4 linked regions of the Saccharomyces cerevisiae S288C genome follow. The protein of the gene in region 1 binds, or shares a complex with, the protein of each later gene. Each region holds a gene or a part of one and is shown on either strand. Other genes may lie near its edges. The genes, in order: AME1, CHL4, NKP2 and OKP1. A codon is read from its position in the direction of its gene.

Region 1 (4,419 bases):
GGCTGCCATTCTTGTTCCTGTGATAATCGTAATTATTGTAGTTGTAATAGTTGTTGTGCGCCATTTGCTCCATAGAAAAGTTACCATCCTGTTGCTGCTGCTGCTGCTGCTGCTGCTGCTGATGTAAAAAGAGTCGCCTTTTATCTTCCGCATATTGTTCAAGAATTTGTTTGGAGTTATCGACTGAAGAAGCCGCAGATGGCGCTCTCAGGCCATTTGAGGACATATATTGGCTTGCCCCCATGATGGTCGAATTTGTTTTAGCATTTGAACTGGATGGGCGTCCCCATGATAATCTTATTGGACTGCCGCCCACAATAAAGCCTTGCAGGCCTTGTATTGAAGCTTCAGCATCAATCCTCTTCTCGAATTTAACAAACCCACAGTTTTTACCATTGGGAATCCTGACATTTAGAATGGGTCCAAAGGGTTTGAATAGTGAACGTAATTGAAATTCGGTAGTTTTTGGTACCAGTCCTCCCACAAAAACAGTAGTATTAGTGGGGTCTGTATTATAGGTGTTTGAAGGTAGTGAATCATTTACACGCATGTTTGAAATGCCGCCCTCATTCAAATGCATTGGAGGCGCGTTATGCAAGGCATTGAGAGGAAGCATGTTGCTATTGTTTTGAATGAGATTATTTGCAGTCTTAATCAAGAGAGGGCCATTATTATCCTCCTGATCTAGCTGCTGATGCTGTTGCTGCAATTGTTGTTGCTGTTGTTGTTGTTCCTGTAACTGCAGCATCATATTATTTCTTGGCGTGGCATAAGCGACTCTTAAGGCCCTTCCTTGAAACCATTTCCCACTCATCTCAATCAGTGCCCTGCGGCGCTCATCTTCATCACCGAATCTGACAAATCCAAAACAACGAGATGATCCTGTTAAAGGGTCAGTCATCACGCGGACGGTTTTAACAGATTTGAACCTCGTTTGGAAAAGAGATAACAAATCAGCTTCAGTGGCGGTGGGAGAAAGATCACCAACAAACAAGGAAAATTCTGGGGTAGATGGTATAGAACTTTGTAAAGTAGCTCCAGACGCCCAATTCAATCTGAAAGTCCTTTTGAACGTTGGATTAGTTTGGGAGTTAGTTGTTGGGGAATAAAAATTAGGTAAAGGTGTAGCATTTAATGACAGGGCAAATTTAGCGTCCTTTTGAGTTTCAAATTCGACAAAACAGTATCCGGCATGATGTAATTGAGTAGTGGAAGGATCAATGAAGGATATTCCATTAATATTAATCATTTGGGAATTATCTAACTGATCAGTGCTGTTTGATGCAGATTGCTGGTTTTCAGCATTCTCCTCACTTGTGTTGTTATTACTACTTGAGGTGGAGCTACAAGGAATCAACAAATTTTTTTTGGCTCTAATTAGTTTAACGATAACTTTTTTATCCAGTTTTGACCATATCTCCTCAATCGTGGCCTCGTCGAAGGACGGATCCAAATCTCCCATCCATAACGTTCTTGGGGGTTCAGTAGAAGTTTCCACTGTGGATGAAGGAGGCAATGGAATAATATATGGATTTTCCTGTCTTTGGGAGGCGTTAGCAACGTTAGACATCATTTGTGTAAATTTTTCAGGCAAAAATCGATGGCGAAGGATATGAAAAAGCTGTAATATTTAAAAGATCCAATAATAGTAAAAACAATATAAATCAGAACGAAAGGGAAAGAAAAAAGCCTCCTTTATTAATATTGGAACAGGAAGAGAATATCAAAAAATGAACCGGGAAAAAAATGGAATTACAATATATGACAATATAACAGATTCGATCACGAGAAATCAGAATATTTGGAACTAGGATATAACACGCAGATGGTTTTCCGTACAACTATGAAGAGTCAGAGAAAAAAAAAAATAGTGAATAAGAATGGTAATCTCTTTTATTGCTTCTTTGTCGACTGCGTCTATGTATATTGGTTCTAAAGGGAACAGGGTATGATAACCAGATTTAATTACAAATATGCTTATTTTCACTTTTAATGGAGTGTATGAAGGTGCGAAACTGCTTGCTTGACTAAGATTTGGTCTTGAATACAAGTTTGGGGAACGCTTTTTGGAACGGCACTATCGCCCCTTCACAGCCGTTTGAAGCTGGTAGAAAATATTTTATCGTGTTGTACGGAGAAATTTAATGGTGTATCCAAATATTGTTAAAGGACTAGTAGAAATGATAATGATTGATTTCATTAGCTATTATGGCAAGGGTCAACATCGTTGCAGTATAAGAAGCGATTGCTCTCATTTTTTTACGTGTCCTGTGTTGCTCTGTATTGTCTTGACTATTTGCGTGTTCATTTAAAGAAAAACCTCAGTATGGATAGAGACACTAAATTAGCTTTTAGGCTGAGGGGCAGTCATTCAAGAAGGACAGACGATATAGATGATGATGTTATTGTATTTAAGACGCCAAATGCTGTTTATAGAGAGGAGAACTCACCTATTCAATCTCCTGTTCAACCCATTTTGTCTTCACCAAAACTTGCGAATTCTTTCGAGTTTCCTATTACCACTAATAACGTAAATGCGCAGGACCGTCATGAACATGGGTATCAGCCCTTGGATGCAGAAGACTATCCCATGATCGACTCTGAAAATAAAAGTCTTATAAGCGAATCGCCGCAAAATGTTAGAAATGATGAAGACCTTACTACTCGTTACAATTTCGATGATATACCCATTAGACAGCTATCATCGTCTATCACTTCTGTGACCACAATTGATGTTTTATCTTCTTTATTCATAAACTTATTTGAAAATGATTTGATTCCGCAAGCTTTGAAGGATTTCAATAAAAGTGATGATGATCAATTTAGGAAACTATTGTACAAATTAGATCTGCGACTCTTTCAAACGATATCAGACCAAATGACCAGAGACTTGAAAGACATATTAGATATCAACGTGTCGAATAATGAGCTCTGCTACCAACTGAAGCAGGTACTTGCTCGAAAAGAAGATTTGAACCAGCAGATAATATCGGTACGAAATGAAATTCAAGAGTTGAAAGCCGGTAAAGACTGGCATGACTTACAAAATGAACAAGCCAAACTGAACGACAAAGTGAAGCTAAATAAGAGGCTAAATGATTTGACTTCTACTTTGCTAGGCAAATACGAGGGAGATCGCAAAATTATGAGCCAAGATAGCGAGGACGATTCAATACGGGATGACTCAAATATTCTGGATATTGCACATTTCGTAGACTTGATGGATCCATATAACGGACTTCTGAAAAAGATAAATAAAATTAATGAAAATCTTTCTAACGAATTACAACCAAGTCTATAGGGAATTGGTTCAAAAGATGTATATATATATATATATATATATATATGTATGTATATATGTATATATGTATATATGTATTACTTCCATACTAAGGAAGTTGTGTTATAAGGTCATTTTTATGTGGTAGACATACTTCATAGATATGCACAAATCTCTCTTTTTTTTTCCTGTTGTCGCTATTAGCTTATCAAATTTGCATCATTTTCAAGTAACGCTGTGACCATTCTGTAGAAGTAGAAAAAGAATATGAGAAGGTAAAATCCCAATTTTAAAAAGCATTCAATTTTGCATCTACCCAATTTTCTGAAAATATCCGTGGCGTCCAGTAGATGTGTTTTCTTGTAGACTTTACTTGCGTTATATGCTAGAACAGGGACATTCAAGAGAAATACGAACCAGTACCCGTTAAAAAGAAACAATGCAGAAATGAAAGCTTGTAGAATTGCCTCTGGTACACTCAACCTATTCACCCTCTTACACAGTTCGATTGAGTTGATATAGTCTGCTTCAAGATCACCATATAATATAGTAAAGTATATCTGGCAAATGGAATTCAAACAATTCAGTATAAGACCCGTCACGAATAGCGATAATCCGGTTCCTGACATCTTTACTCTTGGCTTCGAACTTCTTGGTGCCTGCAGTTAGTTTTATCTTTAGTAAAAAATGATAATGAAAGTGCTTATATGAATAAAGGTATTAATGTCTTCGTATTTAGCAATGTAATTGAAAAATCATTCGTGGCCCACGACAATATTTCCAAATTATCACAGCTTTCGATAGAAGTGAACGATTTTGAATTAGAGAGAGTAGTAGTGAGCTAGACGTACTGTGTTTTGAGAATTGAAGTTTGTATAGCAAAACTATACTATCATAATGCAACATTCAAGAAAAATAATGGTATAGAAACAAAAAATAACTCCGATACGGGGAGTCGAACCCCGGTCTCCACGGTGAAAGCGTGATGTGATAGCCGTTACACTATATCGGATAATAACTTATGTTTGATTTAACCTTAAAGATTTTCTATGTCAAGTTTAAACTGGAGGGCTTTCTATTGCCGAACAATCCTAGCTAAAGGCTTTTTTCCCTATTTACAGAAGAAAATGTAATGACTG
Region 2 (4,806 bases), on another chromosome or scaffold:
GCAGCAATACATGCATACTGTTAAGCCAACGAGTAGAAAAAACAGAAGTAGTGTCATGCCTAATATAGGTTACGTCCCAGGGCTAACCAATAACGAGTATGGTAGAAAGTTTAACGGTAATGGTATGAATGGTACCCAAAGCCGTCTGAATTCACTTTCAAACCAAAGTACGTTTAGATCTCAACAGGGTCCACCGATAACACAGCAAAAATCGTTTCAAAATAACGGTGGTAGCATGAGGACAAATCGCATACCATCTGCAAATTACAATATTTCAAATCAGCAATCGGGTTTTGTTAACTCTATTTCAAGTCCAAATCTAAGCAATTTGGAGAATAGAAACACAGTACAAAACAGTAGAAATGCGGATTCTGCTCCGTGCGTTAATCAATTGAACAGTGACTCTCCGCCCCAATTACAGTCTCTATCTCAAAACGGTACCTCAAAAGTTCCTCAGATCAATATTACGCAACCATCACCAATTCAGACCAACTTTGCTACGAGTGATAACCCTGCTGCTGTAATAAAACTAGGGACACCTTCTGAAGATACAGTTTCAGCTGCGGCAACAGCCAATAATATAAGTACAATGGGAGATGAAAGCCGCAAAGAGGACGTTAAGGAAAAAAAGAAGAAAAAGTTCAGTTTCTTTGGAAAAAGGAAAAAGTAACAAATACGCGAGCCCTTGTCTTTCCAATCCAAATAATCCGTTTTTGTTAATGATATGTTATATTTTATCTACTTATACATTTTATCTAAAACACTTTCTATTTGGTTAATGACCAACGAGGAAGTTTGTAGCTTCAACACAACTTTAGATCATGTAATAAACGGCATATGCTTTTAAATGCTTTGTTTTGTTTTTTTCTTTTTTTCCCGCTGTGACAGAAACAATTAAGTTGCGTTAAAAAGGTTCCCTGATAGAAATAAATACGGCTAAATTAAATAAACTACTACATAATCCTACAACATCAAATGCCTGTAGATCAAGAAAAATTAGCTAAGCTGCACAAGTTATCAGCAGCAAACAAAGTTGGTGGTACCAGAAGGAAAATAAACAAGAAAGGTAATTTATATAATAACAATGACAAGGATAATACCAAGTTACAAGCTGAACTTCATAAACTGCATCCAATGACCATTGAAAACGTTGCCGAAGCAAATTTTTTCAAAAAGAATGGCAAGGTTTTACATTTTAACAGTGCAGTTGTACAGATTGCCCCTCAATGCAATCTCACAATGATTCATGGCCAACCGAAAGAGAATACACTTAATGGGCTGTATCCGAGCGTAGCCTCTCAATTAGGTAGCCAAGAACTTGAGTATTTGACAGGTTTGGCTCATAACCTAGAAAATGAACAGACGGTGCTCGACCAGCTGGGCGACAGATGCAGCGAGACAAAACAACAAGTGATGAATAGCTGACATAGTTCATAATAATTGCCAGTAAACGTTATAGCTAGTGGCGAATGTCGAAGTGGAAATGCTATCACATTAATGTTGCAGATGAATATATATTTTCTTATTTGAGAAGATACACGCTATTTACTCTTTCAGCCATTACTGCTACCATTGTGGTTGTTATCTTGACGATGAACGATGTTGGATTGCTTGACTTTTTTCAGTAATTCATTGATACCCTCACCACCCGCAGTTAGTAATTTAGTCCTGTTTCTCCTACATGTCAGTGTATCATAATGTCTTTTCAATGCATCTTTCCTTGCAAAACCTTTGCCACATTGAGGACAAATGTTAGGCAATATGGCGAAGTGTGTCTTTTCGTGCCTTCTCAAATCTGATGATCTTGAAAATTCCAACGAACATTTCGCACATTTAAATCTTTTTTCACCAGTACTATTTCTACGATCTTGGGGTTTGCTTTTGCTGGACTTCGGTGGTTTTGGTAATGCGTTTTCCTTTTTAACCTTTATGTTACCGCCTTGACTATTTATATCAACACCATTTTCTGCCGGTATGAGTGCTGGTTTTTTATTTTGTAACCTGTTTTGCCTATTCCTTACCCTTTCTAATAACTCTTTTATTATAGGATCTATGTTATCTATATTTAATGATACATCCACTATTGCTTCTGTAGCCTGTTTGATAAATGCAGCATCCTGATCCTCCATTTGGTACTTTTTTGAAATTTATAATACCTCTTGACTTTTTTCCACTATATTATTAACAAATTCTTGGCATATGACATGAAACCCTATTCAATTATCCAGATGCATACATATATACCATGGATAGATATGTATATCTACTATATCTATATATACCTCGTCAATGTAATGAGGAAAGTTCCGAGGGCGACAAAGAGAACAAATATAGTTTTATTTATAATAATGATACAGAACTCAAGATTATTTCCTGCTTATTTTAAACTAAAAGTATAGCAAGTTCTAACCCACAATCAGGTTCTTTATTATTGTCAAGAAAATATAAACTGTGGCGTACTAAGCGTACTAAGTAAGGGACGAAAAACCATCACAAAATGTCACGTGCATGTTAGTCCAGTCGGGCAATAGATAGGGACTGTAAATTAAAGTTTATATTGAAATAAACAAAGGTAAATGGTAAAAGATTAGAAGCATAGAAAGCATCTGGCGTTATTTTAGCGGGGAAAGATTTTGGTGGATACTATCTTTGACTAGTATATTTGAGTAGCAATTAATGTCTAACGAATTACGGCTTGAAGATAACTATGTACCAACTTCCGACACACTAGTAGTTTTCAAACAATTGATGAAGCTGCCGGTAACGGTATTATATGATCTTACGCTATCATGGTTCGCAAAATTCGGTGGGTCATTTGATGGTGACATATATTTATTGACAGAAACATTAGACTTACTGATTGAGAAAGGCGTGAGGCGAAATGTTATAGTAAATAGGATATTATACGTATACTGGCCGGATGGCCTGAATGTTTTCCAATTAGCAGAAATAGATTGCCATTTAATGATAAGTAAACCAGAGAAATTTAAGTGGCTTCCATCAAAAGCTTTACGGGGAGATGGGAAACCTTACGTAGTAAAGCTCCAACCTGCCAAATTTATAGAAAATTTACAAACAGATCTAGCGAAAATTTACCATTGTCATGTTTACATGTTTAAACATCCCTCTTTGCCAGTGTTAATTACCAGAATACAGCTATTTGACAGCAATAATTTATTTTTGAGTACGCCTAATATAGGGAGTATAAATAAAGAGTCTCTTTACAACAAGTTAGACAAATTCCAAGGGAAACCATTAATATCAAGGAGACCATATTACGTTGCATTCCCGCTAAATTCTCCAATAATTTTCCATTCAGTTGACAAGGATATTTATGCTAGACTAGTTTTGCAGAGCATTAGTCGAACGATATCAGAAAGAGAAACAATCATCTTCAAACCGGTACAGAAAATACCCGTGAAATCAATACATAATATAATGACTTTATTAGGACCTTCGAGATTTGCGGAGTCTATGGGCCCATGGGAATGTTATGCTAGTGCTAACTTTGAACGGTCACCACTACACGACTACAAAAAGCACCAAGGCCTTACTGGTAAAAAGGTAATGGTTAGAGAATTTGATGATTCTTTCTTAAATGACGATGAGAATTTTTACGGAAAAGAAGAACCTGAAATTAGACGACTAAGGTTAGAGAAAAACATGATCAAATTCAAAGGTTCAGCAAACGGCGTAATGGATCAGAAATATAATGATTTGAAAGAATTTAACGAACATGTCCACAATATTAGGAATGGAAAGAAAAATGAAGATTCTGGTGAGCCAGTGTACATTTCTAGATACAGTTCCTTAGTTCCTATTGAAAAAGTTGGATTCACTTTAAAAAACGAAATAAACAGTAGAATAATTACCATAAAATTGAAATTTAATGGTAATGATATTTTTGGGGGATTACACGAACTATGCGATAAAAATTTAATAAATATTGATAAAGTTCCTGGGTGGTTGGCTGGAGAAAATGGATCGTTCTCAGGAACGATAATGAATGGAGATTTTCAGCGAGAGCAGGTTGCTAAAGGTGGTTTACTGTAGAAAACTACTGTGTTCTGTTATCGCTTCCAATAAAAAAAAAAAAAAAAAACCTATGCAAAAATTTCAGTCAAAGCATAACAAAACGAACCTTTTTTGTACTGCTCATTGAAGTATTTACGGGGCAGTATGGGCACTTGAAAGTAATTGTTCCGTTCTTCGATAATCTGTCTAGCGCCTTTTTAGAAATGATGTGATGGCATGCCAGTGAATAAGGAGGATTTTCTGTAGTGGTTTCCTCCTTTAAGACGGGACAGATGAAGATCGGATGGAAATGAGTCAGAAAATCTGGTAACTTGACATCAAATGGCAACTCATCTTTCGTAGTCCAGTCAACGTGCGCTAACTCCCTGATGGTTTTGTATTTGATGAAAAATTGGAAAGAAATTAAACCACTCAATACTATCAAAAACAAGGGAGAGTCAAAGAAAATATGTTTTGCAGCACAATATTCTTTTATAAATAACGACGTGCATTCTTTTAATTCCTTATTTACTTTAGAATCAATATCTTCAATAGGTTGACCTATTAGCGATTTAGTTAATAATGGTACGACGTTTTGCATTAATTCCTTCTCCCTATGTCTAAAGCAATCCAGGGGTGCGTTCTGTGTTATTTGGTAGTACAACTCTACCGGATTTCCATGCTTCACTATCTGCATTGCTGACAAAGTGTATAAATCAAATTTTAGGGACGATAAAGCCGTATGGTTAGATGATAAGCTTTCCATTTCATTGGAGCACCATTTCAGACAGC
Region 3 (3,887 bases), on another chromosome or scaffold:
TCTGTCAATCTTTTCATCAATTCATCGTTGACATCAGTCGTCAGTTGCCAAAATTGTACATTCGACAATTTTGTCAGGTCTTTATTTCTATTTTGGCGGTTTTGGTTCCTTCTTCTATCATCTTCTGGTACAGAGGCCTCTATAATTCTTTTGAAATTCTTATAATCCGATATAAGGTCTATGATTTGATCATTCGTTAATTCTGAGCTAATCATTCTTTTTATTTCGTTATGGCCACATTATGATATTCTTTTACTTTACTGTTTTAATTTTATATTCTGCGATTCAAATCATAACAGATATTTAGTTGAATAACTCTGTTTTTCTTCATTTCCATTTTTTTCTATTTACCCTTCTTCTTTTTATTTTACGCGTCTCGCGTTTTATATATTAATAGTAATAATATTTAATAGTGTATGTTTGAAATTTTTATATGTCTTTATTTCGCTAACGTAAAAATCCCTTCTTCTTTGTAGGGACGGGGGAGTGGTTAACATTGGGAGAAGCACTATTTATTGAAAGTTCTAGCTGTTTTTTCTTGTCCTCCAAAGCTTTTAATTGTTTAGTTAATTTTTCCTTCATTTCTTTATGTCTAGCAAACAATTCAGTTTCTGATTTTTGTAGTTTTTTCTCCTTTTCGGAAACTTTTTGTTGGAAAACTGTTTTCATTTCAATTTCTAGTTTGGCTAGTTTTGCCTCATGTAAAGTTTTTTCTTCTTGTTGTTTAGATATTGGATCGAACTCTTTGAAAACTGAATTATCTTGCTTAATACCAAGTTTTGCCAATTTAGAAGACCTGTAGTTTTCGTATAGTATCTTGCTTGTCCTTTCCTTTAATTCCTCCATGAATTGCTTGATCAATAAATTTTTCAAAAGGTTGAAATCAGAGTGGTTGTCATTGTCCACTTCGATCACCCCCCATGGATAGGAACGGCCTCTCACTTGATTACCACTGTAGTTCTCTACAATATCGTTGGAACCAATAACAGCATAAGGTAAACTACTAAATAGTCTTTCGGATAAATGGCTATTTTCTGCATCATCGTTGGAATAAATTGGAGGCTTGAACAGCTCGATATTAGATTGGATTAACTGGTTCATAATGGTCTTCTTGAAACTTAAGATCTCTTCATCAGTTAAGATGTCAGATTTAGCAATGACAGGAATCAAGTTACATTTTTCATATACAGATTGCATAAACTTCAGGTCCAGGGGCTTTAAGTAATGTCCTGTAGGTTCAATGAAATAAAGACATGCATGGATTCTTTTATCGTTTATTGAATGTCTGTTGATTTTGTTCTCCGCATCCAAGTATTGATCAAAACGAGAGTCAATCTCCTTAATGATCGGGTCCCATGATTTTTGATCATTATTTAAAAAATCACCAAATCCTTCAGTATCGATCACGTTCAAATTCAGTTTAACACCATTTTCTTCAATAACCGACTCATATGACTTAATTTTGACCTTGTGCCTTTGTTCTTGTGATTGGTTCTCGTGACCCTCGCCCTGACCCTCCTCTTCTTCCTGATCATTTGCAAGTTCCTCCTCGTAATCTTTCACTAAATTGGCCTCAATATCATCATTATTAAATAAAGTTTTCATTAAAGTTGTCTTACCAATACCATCAGGGCCGACACATAGGAGATTGAAACTGAATCCGTTCTTTATGGACCTTCTGTGCCATTGCTTGGGCAAATTAGCAAACCCTACATAACCATTGATTTGACGACGAATGAACTTAATCTCCGGTTGGTCAGGCAGAACTTGACCCTTTTCGCTCTGAGAGGAGGTGATGCCCATACCGAGGCCGGGTTCCACCTTTACATCGGATTCAGCTGCCTCAAATCTCTCGCTGTCGTCATTTTGCGTACCGTTCGTGTACTGCGAGTCCACTCCATCATGATCCTGCGACTCTTGTTTGATCTGAACATCATTGAATTGATCATGCTGACGCTCTTCTTGTTCCGGGTCCTGCTTAATGGACACTTGTTCCTCCTTTAAACTCATGGCAACGTATTATAGGCCGATGTAATCGTTCAGTTGTCGTGTGATCCTGGATTTGATATTTTCTTGATCTGCTTTCCTCGAGAGATTTTAACTTAATACACAAAACAACACAAAACGCAATTCCTAAAACCGAGACAAAAAATGGCAAAAAATGGGAAGCGAAAACACGCCCCCACCATATCATTACACACGTAGATCATAAAAGACGAAAATACTAAATTAGCCGCCCAGGTGGTTCCTTTTTACGAAAGGAAGGAAGGAGAAATCTAGAGGTGCTGCTATATATGTTTGCAAGGTGCGAGAATATTCTGTCACAATTATCAAGCAGCAAGTTATATAAAGTTGTTTCTCACAGCTTCTTGCACTCCCTTGCGGTGCCTTTCCTGCACCACTAGTGTAACTGCTGATGTCTTCCATTTGATGTCAGAATCGATTTCTTGTTACGCCACGAACAGTTAATATATAGAATTAAAGGAATGATCTTGTACAACTACAAGATAACAATAGATTAACAGCCAATATTACCGTCGCCGCTGCCCGCTTCGCGGAGAAACAGCGAAAAACAACGAAGATCGTTCTCGAAAAAGCCCAAAAGCTGGGTATAACGCAACAAAATAATCATAGATTTGACAATTGTGCTCCCAATCTTGCTTTGAAATTACCATTATAAATGAACTCTGAACAGCTGCTGCATAACTATGTTTCGGATTCGCTACTCACTACTCTGATAAGTTTTCAAGAGTTCAAGCAGCAACTACAGTCGTACACGAGCGACGAGCAACAACTGCAACATTGGTACGAATTGCTTCAGGCCAGGGATGCGCGAGTGACCTCTGAGTTAGAAGCACGAATCAAGCAGTTTTTCATAACGTTGCGCTCTAGATTACTGCGATTTCTGGAAAGCGAGCAACTATCACACTCCCTTAGCCTCGAGACACTGATCGACGCGCTGTACAAGATTAATGACCTGTTGCAACAGCGTTTGCAGATTCTGGATGATGCTATTCAGGAAAAGACCTCGGAACTAGCAGAATTTGAAAATATGGTTCGCTCACCGAGTGCAGGAGACAATGCCATTCCTGGCCTATTACAAATTATACAATCTTATATTAATCTATTAGAGGAAAACTAGCAGCAGACATCCCGGTCAACCTGCCCCACAGGATATTCCTCGCCGATCCATTGAAAGGCTTCGTATGTTGAGTTTAGCTGTTTGTTATCGTTCATGCAGTACCCGTCACCACTCGTTAATTTTAAGCTCCCGGTGCGCTGCATCTCTGTAAGGAAGACCACTCGTCTCACACGAGAATGGATCAGGGCCATGGAGCACATTGAGCACGGCTCATGGGTCAAATAGACGTCGTAATCAAGACACAGATAAGAGTTTGCGTCTTCGTCTACACCCTCCCTGAGTCTTTCGCCTACCGCACGGATGCCCACCATTACACTGTGGTCGATGGGTAGCGAGTTTTCGCAGTTTCTGCCATCTTCTGCCACCACTTTGTCCTTCTTTCTTGATGGGTCAACAAAGACGCTCACCATTGGAAACTGTTTTCCTGCCGTTGCCATCTTCACAGACAACGTCGACGCACGCGATAGCTCATTTCGTACTTCCTGCATGTCTATTTTATAGTCGTTCAATATTTGATCATTGGGGTTGCCGTTCCAAATCAACGGCCAGTACTTCACAGACCAGGCATTGTTCAGTTCCTTTGTGCTGGGCGCAAACTCAGGCACTTCGATATCATCACTCAGTTCATACTTTTTCGTTCCAACCCAAATACTCTTCAATTTATTGTTTATTTCACCTTCGTCGCAAATATACTCTTTCGAACACAACACCACTTCCAAGGTGGAGGTCTCGATGTCCTTGCGGA
Region 4 (4,485 bases), on another chromosome or scaffold:
GAGTTGGTGGAGCTATCTCTTTTCCTAAAGTTTCCCTTCATATTGTTTCAATGTAATGAACTCCTTTAATTACTTCCGTGACTGAGGATGTCAGTTTTTATATCAAATCAATTTTCAAAGATTTAATTATTGCTTCCCCTTCAAGATCAATTCGGAAATAATCGAAACGTCTTCTGGAAAGAACAAAAAGAAAGATAGAAGAAAACGCGAGTGAATGACCTATATCTTCCTTAAAGATCTATGCGATGAGAGATGCCGATTTAAGAACTGCTTTACAAAAACGCAAATCTCAAGTAAAGAAAGTGCCTCCCAATTGAGCTTTCCTTCCTTCTTTATTTTTTTTTTTTTCCAGTTTTTCATAATTTGTTGTGGCTCTCCAAGGTTTTCTGAGGCTCGTTGGCGGAGAAGTTACGTAACCCGGATGCTAATAGTGCATGATTATATATCAAATATTTAGTTATATGCATCGTAATCGTAAACTCTGAAACAATGGATTATCGCTAGTGTATATCTTCTTCGGTCTTATCTTGGTGCGACTCATGGTGCGGTACAAAAACCTCTTTGATTTCTTCTTCATGTGAATCCGAAATCATTTGACCCATTGTTTCCTTAAGTTCCTTTGATTTCTTCGTATATTCTTTCAAAGAAGGTAACAACGACAGTACTTCCTCCTTATCAAGCCTCACATCGGCTGTACTTTTTATGGGGTCGTTCAACATCAGGTTCAATTCGTGGCTATCATTTCTAAAAGTTACTGGGCCATCAGGATGCATAAATCCATTAGTAGATTCTAAGCCATATGTATATTCCATTGCTTTGTTAAGTACTGGATGCAGATCTTTTTGTATTAGCTTCTCAGTGAGTCGTTTCTTGTTGTTTGTTTTTAAATTCATGCACAACTTCCTAGTTTCCTCCAAAAGGTTTTGTTCACGTGAAAGAATTGCTTCCAATCTCTCATTATTTTGTAGTTCTTGTGAATACCGGTTTTGAATAAATTGTCGCTTAGAATAAATATACTCGATGTCTAGATCTCTTTCCGATATCCTAGAGGGAAATTTGGCCTGTCTTAGCTTCTTCTTTATCTTTGTGAGGATTATTTCAAGCAAACGTTCCTTCTTAGAATATATTCTTTTAACCTCATTATTATCGCCATGCGTCATTTGGTTCATTTCCTTTTCGTACTTCTCAAAGACAGAATCAAGAGCGCTTACAGTGTTAGTCTCTAATAAACGAAGTATGGATCCTATCATTATTTTAGAAGGCTTTTTCCAATGCTTTAATTCATAATTGCGCGGCAACCTTTCTCTATACTCAGCTTGTATTACCTTCCTGAATTCCCAAGGTCGTACATTGCCCTCTCCACTTGTTGCGCTTCCATCCGATAGATGAGATTGCAATTTACCTGTACTTTCCTTGCCAACCTCAAATCGAAGTTGTTTAGATCCTTTATGATGGTATTGTCCTTCTTCTTTGTTCGTGCGCTCTTCTATTTCTCCTTCTTCAGCATCATCAGAGTTCTCATAAAAAAGCGACTTCTTTGATTGGGTGCTTTTAGCTTCTGGTGCTACGTCCAGACGTAAAGTTTTAATATCATTCACATTCATGAGAATGCTGCTATCGCTTTCAGAGGAACTTCGGTTGGGTGACAGATCCATGGCCTGGCCATTGTTAATTGAATCATTTTCAATATTTTGTAAAAAATTATCTCTATCAGCTGCCATACAGTATACGTAGCACTAGTATCGCTTGAATTATTCGTCCATAGGGTGCAAGTTACCTCATCCATTGTTGCTATGTACCTCTATCTGTATTAACTTCGAGGTAGTAAACAAATGGGTGGACCGTATTGTGACTCTCCGGGTAACAAAAATATGTTATTTAAATGAAATGACCGGGATGATGGTACTCTCTGAATCTTTCCCTTATCTACCTACAAGAAAATGGCAAATATTGTCATAATAAATATAAAAAAAAACTGTAGTTTCTTTTTAAATTTTTCTACTTAAGTTTAGTTATACTGTACCTAGGTATATATAAATATATATAAATAAAAGTGGCCAAGAATAAAAGAACGCACCCCGTCGTTGACTTAGAAGTCATCATCAAAGTTAATTTCCTTGGATGGGGTAGCGGACTTAGACATGTCACTGGCCTTTTGGTAGTCGGAAACCTTCTTTTCAAAGAAGGTGGTCTTACCAGCGGTAGCGACATCCTCCATGAATTCGAATGGGTTGACGGCGTTGTAGTATTTTTCGTTACCGAAACCTTGTAATAGACCGTCAGCGACAAATTCTATGTAGGTGTGAATGCTCTTCAAATCCATACCAAATTTTTCTACTGGCAAAGAGTTTGAGTAGTATTCCTTTTCAATTTCCACGGCTTCGGTAATGATTTTTTCAATGATCTTGGGGTTTGGCTTGGTTCTCAAATGGGCAAATAGCAAGCATGAAAAGTCAGTGTAGGCACCTCTGTCTCTACAGATGTTTCTGTTGGCCATTGCTAAACCTGGCATAATCTTTTTGTCAGTCAACCAGAACATAGAAGCATAGTTACCAGCTTGGAAAATACCTTCCTTTGCAGCAAATGCTACTAGTCTTTCAGCATACAAGCTGTCATCGTTGGAAATCCATCTCTCGATGAAAGCAGCCTTATGCTTGACTTCAGGCAAATTGGCAATTTCCTTGAATAGAGGGATGTTCTTAGGGTCCTTGAAGAAGGCATCAACCATCATGGAGTAAACTTCAGAGTAGATGTTTTCCATCATAATCTGGAACCCGTAGAAACTCTTACCTTCAGGGTTTTGCAATTGGGCAGAAAAGTTTTCGATCAAGTACTTGTTGACAAGGTTGTCAGAAGAAATGGACAAGGCTAACAAGTTACCGATGTAGGTCTTCTGGTCATCAGTCAATTTTTGGAAATCTTCAGTGTCCTTAGCCAATTCGATTTCTTCCGCAGTCCAGAAAGAGGCTTCAACCTTCTTGTAAGCAGCCCAGATTTCGTGGTATTTGATAGGGAACATCACGAATCTACGGCTGTTTTCCATCAAAAGGATTTCATCCTTTTCAGCTTCTTTCATATCATGACGTTCTTTTTGGAAAGTCTTCAAAAATTGGTTATGTGCTTCCATTGTAATAACTAATTGTGTGCGTTGCGCGGGGTTGTGTGGCTCAAAAAGATCTGTTTTTGTATTAGCAATTTTTTATTTCCCTTTTTAAATGAATTTTTTTTCTTTCTGTTTCGAGACAAGGCCTTTTGCAAAAAAAAAAAAAGTAAAAAAGTGAAATTTGATAGTGTAAGGGGACAGAGGTGGGGTCAGAAACCAATGTATCTATTGATAGTCTTTTTTTGATCGAAAAGCCAAGAGACAAAAAATGAAGAAAATGAGAGATAAGGAATGAAACTTTAGGAACATTGAAGATTCAATCGCCGTTTTTATACGCCAGAGCTTCATGAGACCAAGGAAGGAACGGACGTCGTCTACCGATTACAGTAAGCAAAGAGGATGGTGTTGCCACAACAACGCCCATCGGGAAGGCAAGAGACGCTGTGGTGAACAATAACTGCCAAAACGTGGTTCTCGCACGCTGAAAAGCGCGTTCTCGTGCGCCGCTTTCAGTGTGCTAGAACTTGCACTGTCCGGTTTCCGGTGCTTGGTGTTGGGTGGTCGTACCTGCTAGTTCCATTGGTGCGGTGTATGGGCGGGTACCCTCAAAAAGGGAAACGAAGGTAGGCGCACGGTGCTTATTAAGCTCAGAGGCGACCTCGCAGAAGGGGGCAGACCACACAAGCGGTGGAGGCGCTCCAGATATTCAGTGGAGTGGGGCTTGCTCATGTTCTGTTGTTGGTTTTGGATAGAAAAAGAGCGGGTTGAATAGTTTGCCATGGCAACCACTCTGGAAGCGAAATCACATAGACGCGTAAACACTCACACACAGGATATTCGTATAGCAAGGTACTAGTGGCGACACTCAGGTGGTCCTCGTTGCCTTATCTCCAGATTCCTCAATTTCTGTGAAACGTAAACATTATGGGAATAGTCTAGACGCGTACTTCATTTTCTTTGTTTCGTGAAAAGTACACTTTCCCGTCTTCGCCGGTTCCCTTTCTTGCCTGAAATGCTCGTTCTAATGGAAAAAAAAAGAAATAAAGGTGGGCCTGCCCATTAGCAGGAAATTGGTACTTAATTATTGAAAAAAAAATTATTGGTTGCTAAGAGATTCGAACTCTTGCATCTTACGATACCTGAGTATTCCCACAGTTAACTGCGGTCAAGATATTTCTTGAATCAGGCGCCTTAGACCGCTCGGCCAAACAACCACTTATTTGTTGAAAGCGAGCGCGGTACAAGTAATGTTACCTCATCTGATATACAATAAAGGTGGAGCGCCAATATATACGCATTTGACTGTTCATAATTCATTGAATATAATTTATTCCTTGTTAGTACAAAAGGGTTAAACAGAAAAAGACGTGACGTTGTAACCG

Evidence for each region.
Region 2: the proteins of AME1 (region 1) and CHL4 are in contact, whole or in part, in a cryo-EM structure (PDB 6NUW), measured with the Saccharomyces cerevisiae proteins. Residues at the interface, in NP_009770.3 of Saccharomyces cerevisiae: Glu214 (codon at 2,966), Asn217 (codon at 2,975), Ile221 (codon at 2,987), Arg224 (codon at 2,996), Asn225 (codon at 2,999), Gln228 (codon at 3,008), Lys231 (codon at 3,017), Ala232 (codon at 3,020), Asp235 (codon at 3,029), Trp236 (codon at 3,032); in NP_010540.3 of Saccharomyces cerevisiae: Arg113 (codon at 3,013), Gly114 (codon at 3,016), Asp115 (codon at 3,019), Gln133 (codon at 3,073), Ala137 (codon at 3,085), Lys138 (codon at 3,088), Ile219 (codon at 3,331), Tyr220 (codon at 3,334), Arg222 (codon at 3,340), Leu223 (codon at 3,343), Gln226 (codon at 3,352), Ser229 (codon at 3,361), Arg230 (codon at 3,364), Ile238 (codon at 3,388), Ile239 (codon at 3,391), Phe240 (codon at 3,394).
Region 3: the proteins of AME1 (region 1) and NKP2 are in contact, whole or in part, in a cryo-EM structure (PDB 6NUW), measured with the Saccharomyces cerevisiae proteins. Residues at the interface, in NP_009770.3 of Saccharomyces cerevisiae: Lys172 (codon at 2,840), Arg176 (codon at 2,852), Gln179 (codon at 2,861), Asp183 (codon at 2,873), Thr186 (codon at 2,882), Arg187 (codon at 2,885), Ile195 (codon at 2,909), Ser198 (codon at 2,918), Glu201 (codon at 2,927), Leu202 (codon at 2,930), Gln205 (codon at 2,939), Leu206 (codon at 2,942), His294 (codon at 3,206), Tyr302 (codon at 3,230), Leu305 (codon at 3,239), Ile312 (codon at 3,260), Asn315 (codon at 3,269), Glu319 (codon at 3,281); in NP_013419.1 of Saccharomyces cerevisiae: Ile20 (codon at 2,738), Gln27 (codon at 2,759), Gln28 (codon at 2,762), Glu36 (codon at 2,786), Tyr43 (codon at 2,807), Arg52 (codon at 2,834), Val53 (codon at 2,837), Glu56 (codon at 2,846), Arg60 (codon at 2,858), Thr116 (codon at 3,026), Ala120 (codon at 3,038), Glu123 (codon at 3,047), Asn124 (codon at 3,050), Arg127 (codon at 3,059), Ser128 (codon at 3,062), Leu139 (codon at 3,095), Tyr146 (codon at 3,116), Leu150 (codon at 3,128), Asn153 (codon at 3,137).
Region 4: the proteins of AME1 (region 1) and OKP1 are in contact, whole or in part, in a crystal structure (PDB 8T0P), measured with the Saccharomyces cerevisiae proteins. Residues at the interface, in NP_009770.3 of Saccharomyces cerevisiae: Ser126 (codon at 2,702), Ile129 (codon at 2,711), Thr130 (codon at 2,714), Ser131 (codon at 2,717), Thr133 (codon at 2,723), Thr134 (codon at 2,726), Ile135 (codon at 2,729), Asp136 (codon at 2,732), Val137 (codon at 2,735), Leu138 (codon at 2,738), Ser140 (codon at 2,744), Leu141 (codon at 2,747), Phe142 (codon at 2,750), Asn144 (codon at 2,756), Leu145 (codon at 2,759), Asn148 (codon at 2,768), Asp149 (codon at 2,771), Leu150 (codon at 2,774), Gln165 (codon at 2,819), Phe166 (codon at 2,822), Leu169 (codon at 2,831), Leu170 (codon at 2,834), Lys172 (codon at 2,840), Leu173 (codon at 2,843), Asp174 (codon at 2,846), Arg176 (codon at 2,852), Leu177 (codon at 2,855), Phe178 (codon at 2,858), Thr180 (codon at 2,864), Ile181 (codon at 2,867); in NP_011695.1 of Saccharomyces cerevisiae: Pro127 (codon at 1,343), Trp128 (codon at 1,340), Phe130 (codon at 1,334), Val133 (codon at 1,325), Ile134 (codon at 1,322), Glu137 (codon at 1,313), Tyr138 (codon at 1,310), Arg141 (codon at 1,301), Leu142 (codon at 1,298), Glu147 (codon at 1,283), Ile162 (codon at 1,238), Leu165 (codon at 1,229), Leu166 (codon at 1,226), Asn169 (codon at 1,217), Thr170 (codon at 1,214), Ser172 (codon at 1,208), Ala173 (codon at 1,205), Leu174 (codon at 1,202), Ser176 (codon at 1,196), Val177 (codon at 1,193), Phe178 (codon at 1,190), Tyr181 (codon at 1,181), Glu184 (codon at 1,172), Met185 (codon at 1,169), Met188 (codon at 1,160), Glu195 (codon at 1,139), Ile199 (codon at 1,127), Lys203 (codon at 1,115), Leu206 (codon at 1,106), Leu207 (codon at 1,103).

Annotation. Positions count from the first base shown.
Region 1 is NC_001134.8:645,040-649,458, reverse strand, and holds AME1 (Ame1p), read left to right. Parts: upstream 1-2,326; coding exon 2,327-3,301; downstream 3,302-4,419. Other genes in the region: NGR1 (Ngr1p), read right to left, coding at 1-1,573; ERV15 (Erv15p), read right to left, coding at 3,481-3,909.
Region 2 is NC_001136.10:962,437-967,242, forward strand, and holds CHL4 (Chl4p), read left to right. Parts: upstream 1-2,676; coding exon 2,677-4,053; downstream 4,054-4,806. Other genes in the region: PAM1 (Pam1p), read left to right, coding at 1-670; CCR4-NOT core subunit BTT1, read left to right, coding at 976-1,425; MET32 (Met32p), read right to left, coding at 1,554-2,129; ubiquitin-protein ligase RMD5, read right to left, coding at 4,121-4,806. UniProt on the Saccharomyces cerevisiae protein: Component of the kinetochore, a multiprotein complex that assembles on centromeric DNA and attaches chromosomes to spindle microtubules, mediating chromosome segregation and sister chromatid segregation during meiosis and mitosis.
Region 3 is NC_001144.5:762,128-766,014, forward strand, and holds NKP2 (Nkp2p), read left to right. Parts: upstream 1-2,680; coding exon 2,681-3,142; downstream 3,143-3,887. Other genes in the region: SPH1 (Sph1p), read right to left, coding at 1-215; septin CDC3, read right to left, coding at 448-2,010; TAD3 (Tad3p), read right to left, coding at 3,139-3,887. UniProt on the Saccharomyces cerevisiae protein: Component of the kinetochore, a multiprotein complex that assembles on centromeric DNA and attaches chromosomes to spindle microtubules, mediating chromosome segregation and sister chromatid segregation during meiosis and mitosis.
Region 4 is NC_001139.9:853,175-857,659, forward strand, and holds OKP1 (Okp1p), read right to left. Parts: upstream 1,722-4,485; coding exon 501-1,721; downstream 1-500. Other genes in the region: PBP1 (Pbp1p), read right to left, coding at 1-41; ribonucleotide-diphosphate reductase subunit RNR4, read right to left, coding at 2,090-3,127. UniProt on the Saccharomyces cerevisiae protein: Component of the kinetochore, a multiprotein complex that assembles on centromeric DNA and attaches chromosomes to spindle microtubules, mediating chromosome segregation and sister chromatid segregation during meiosis and mitosis.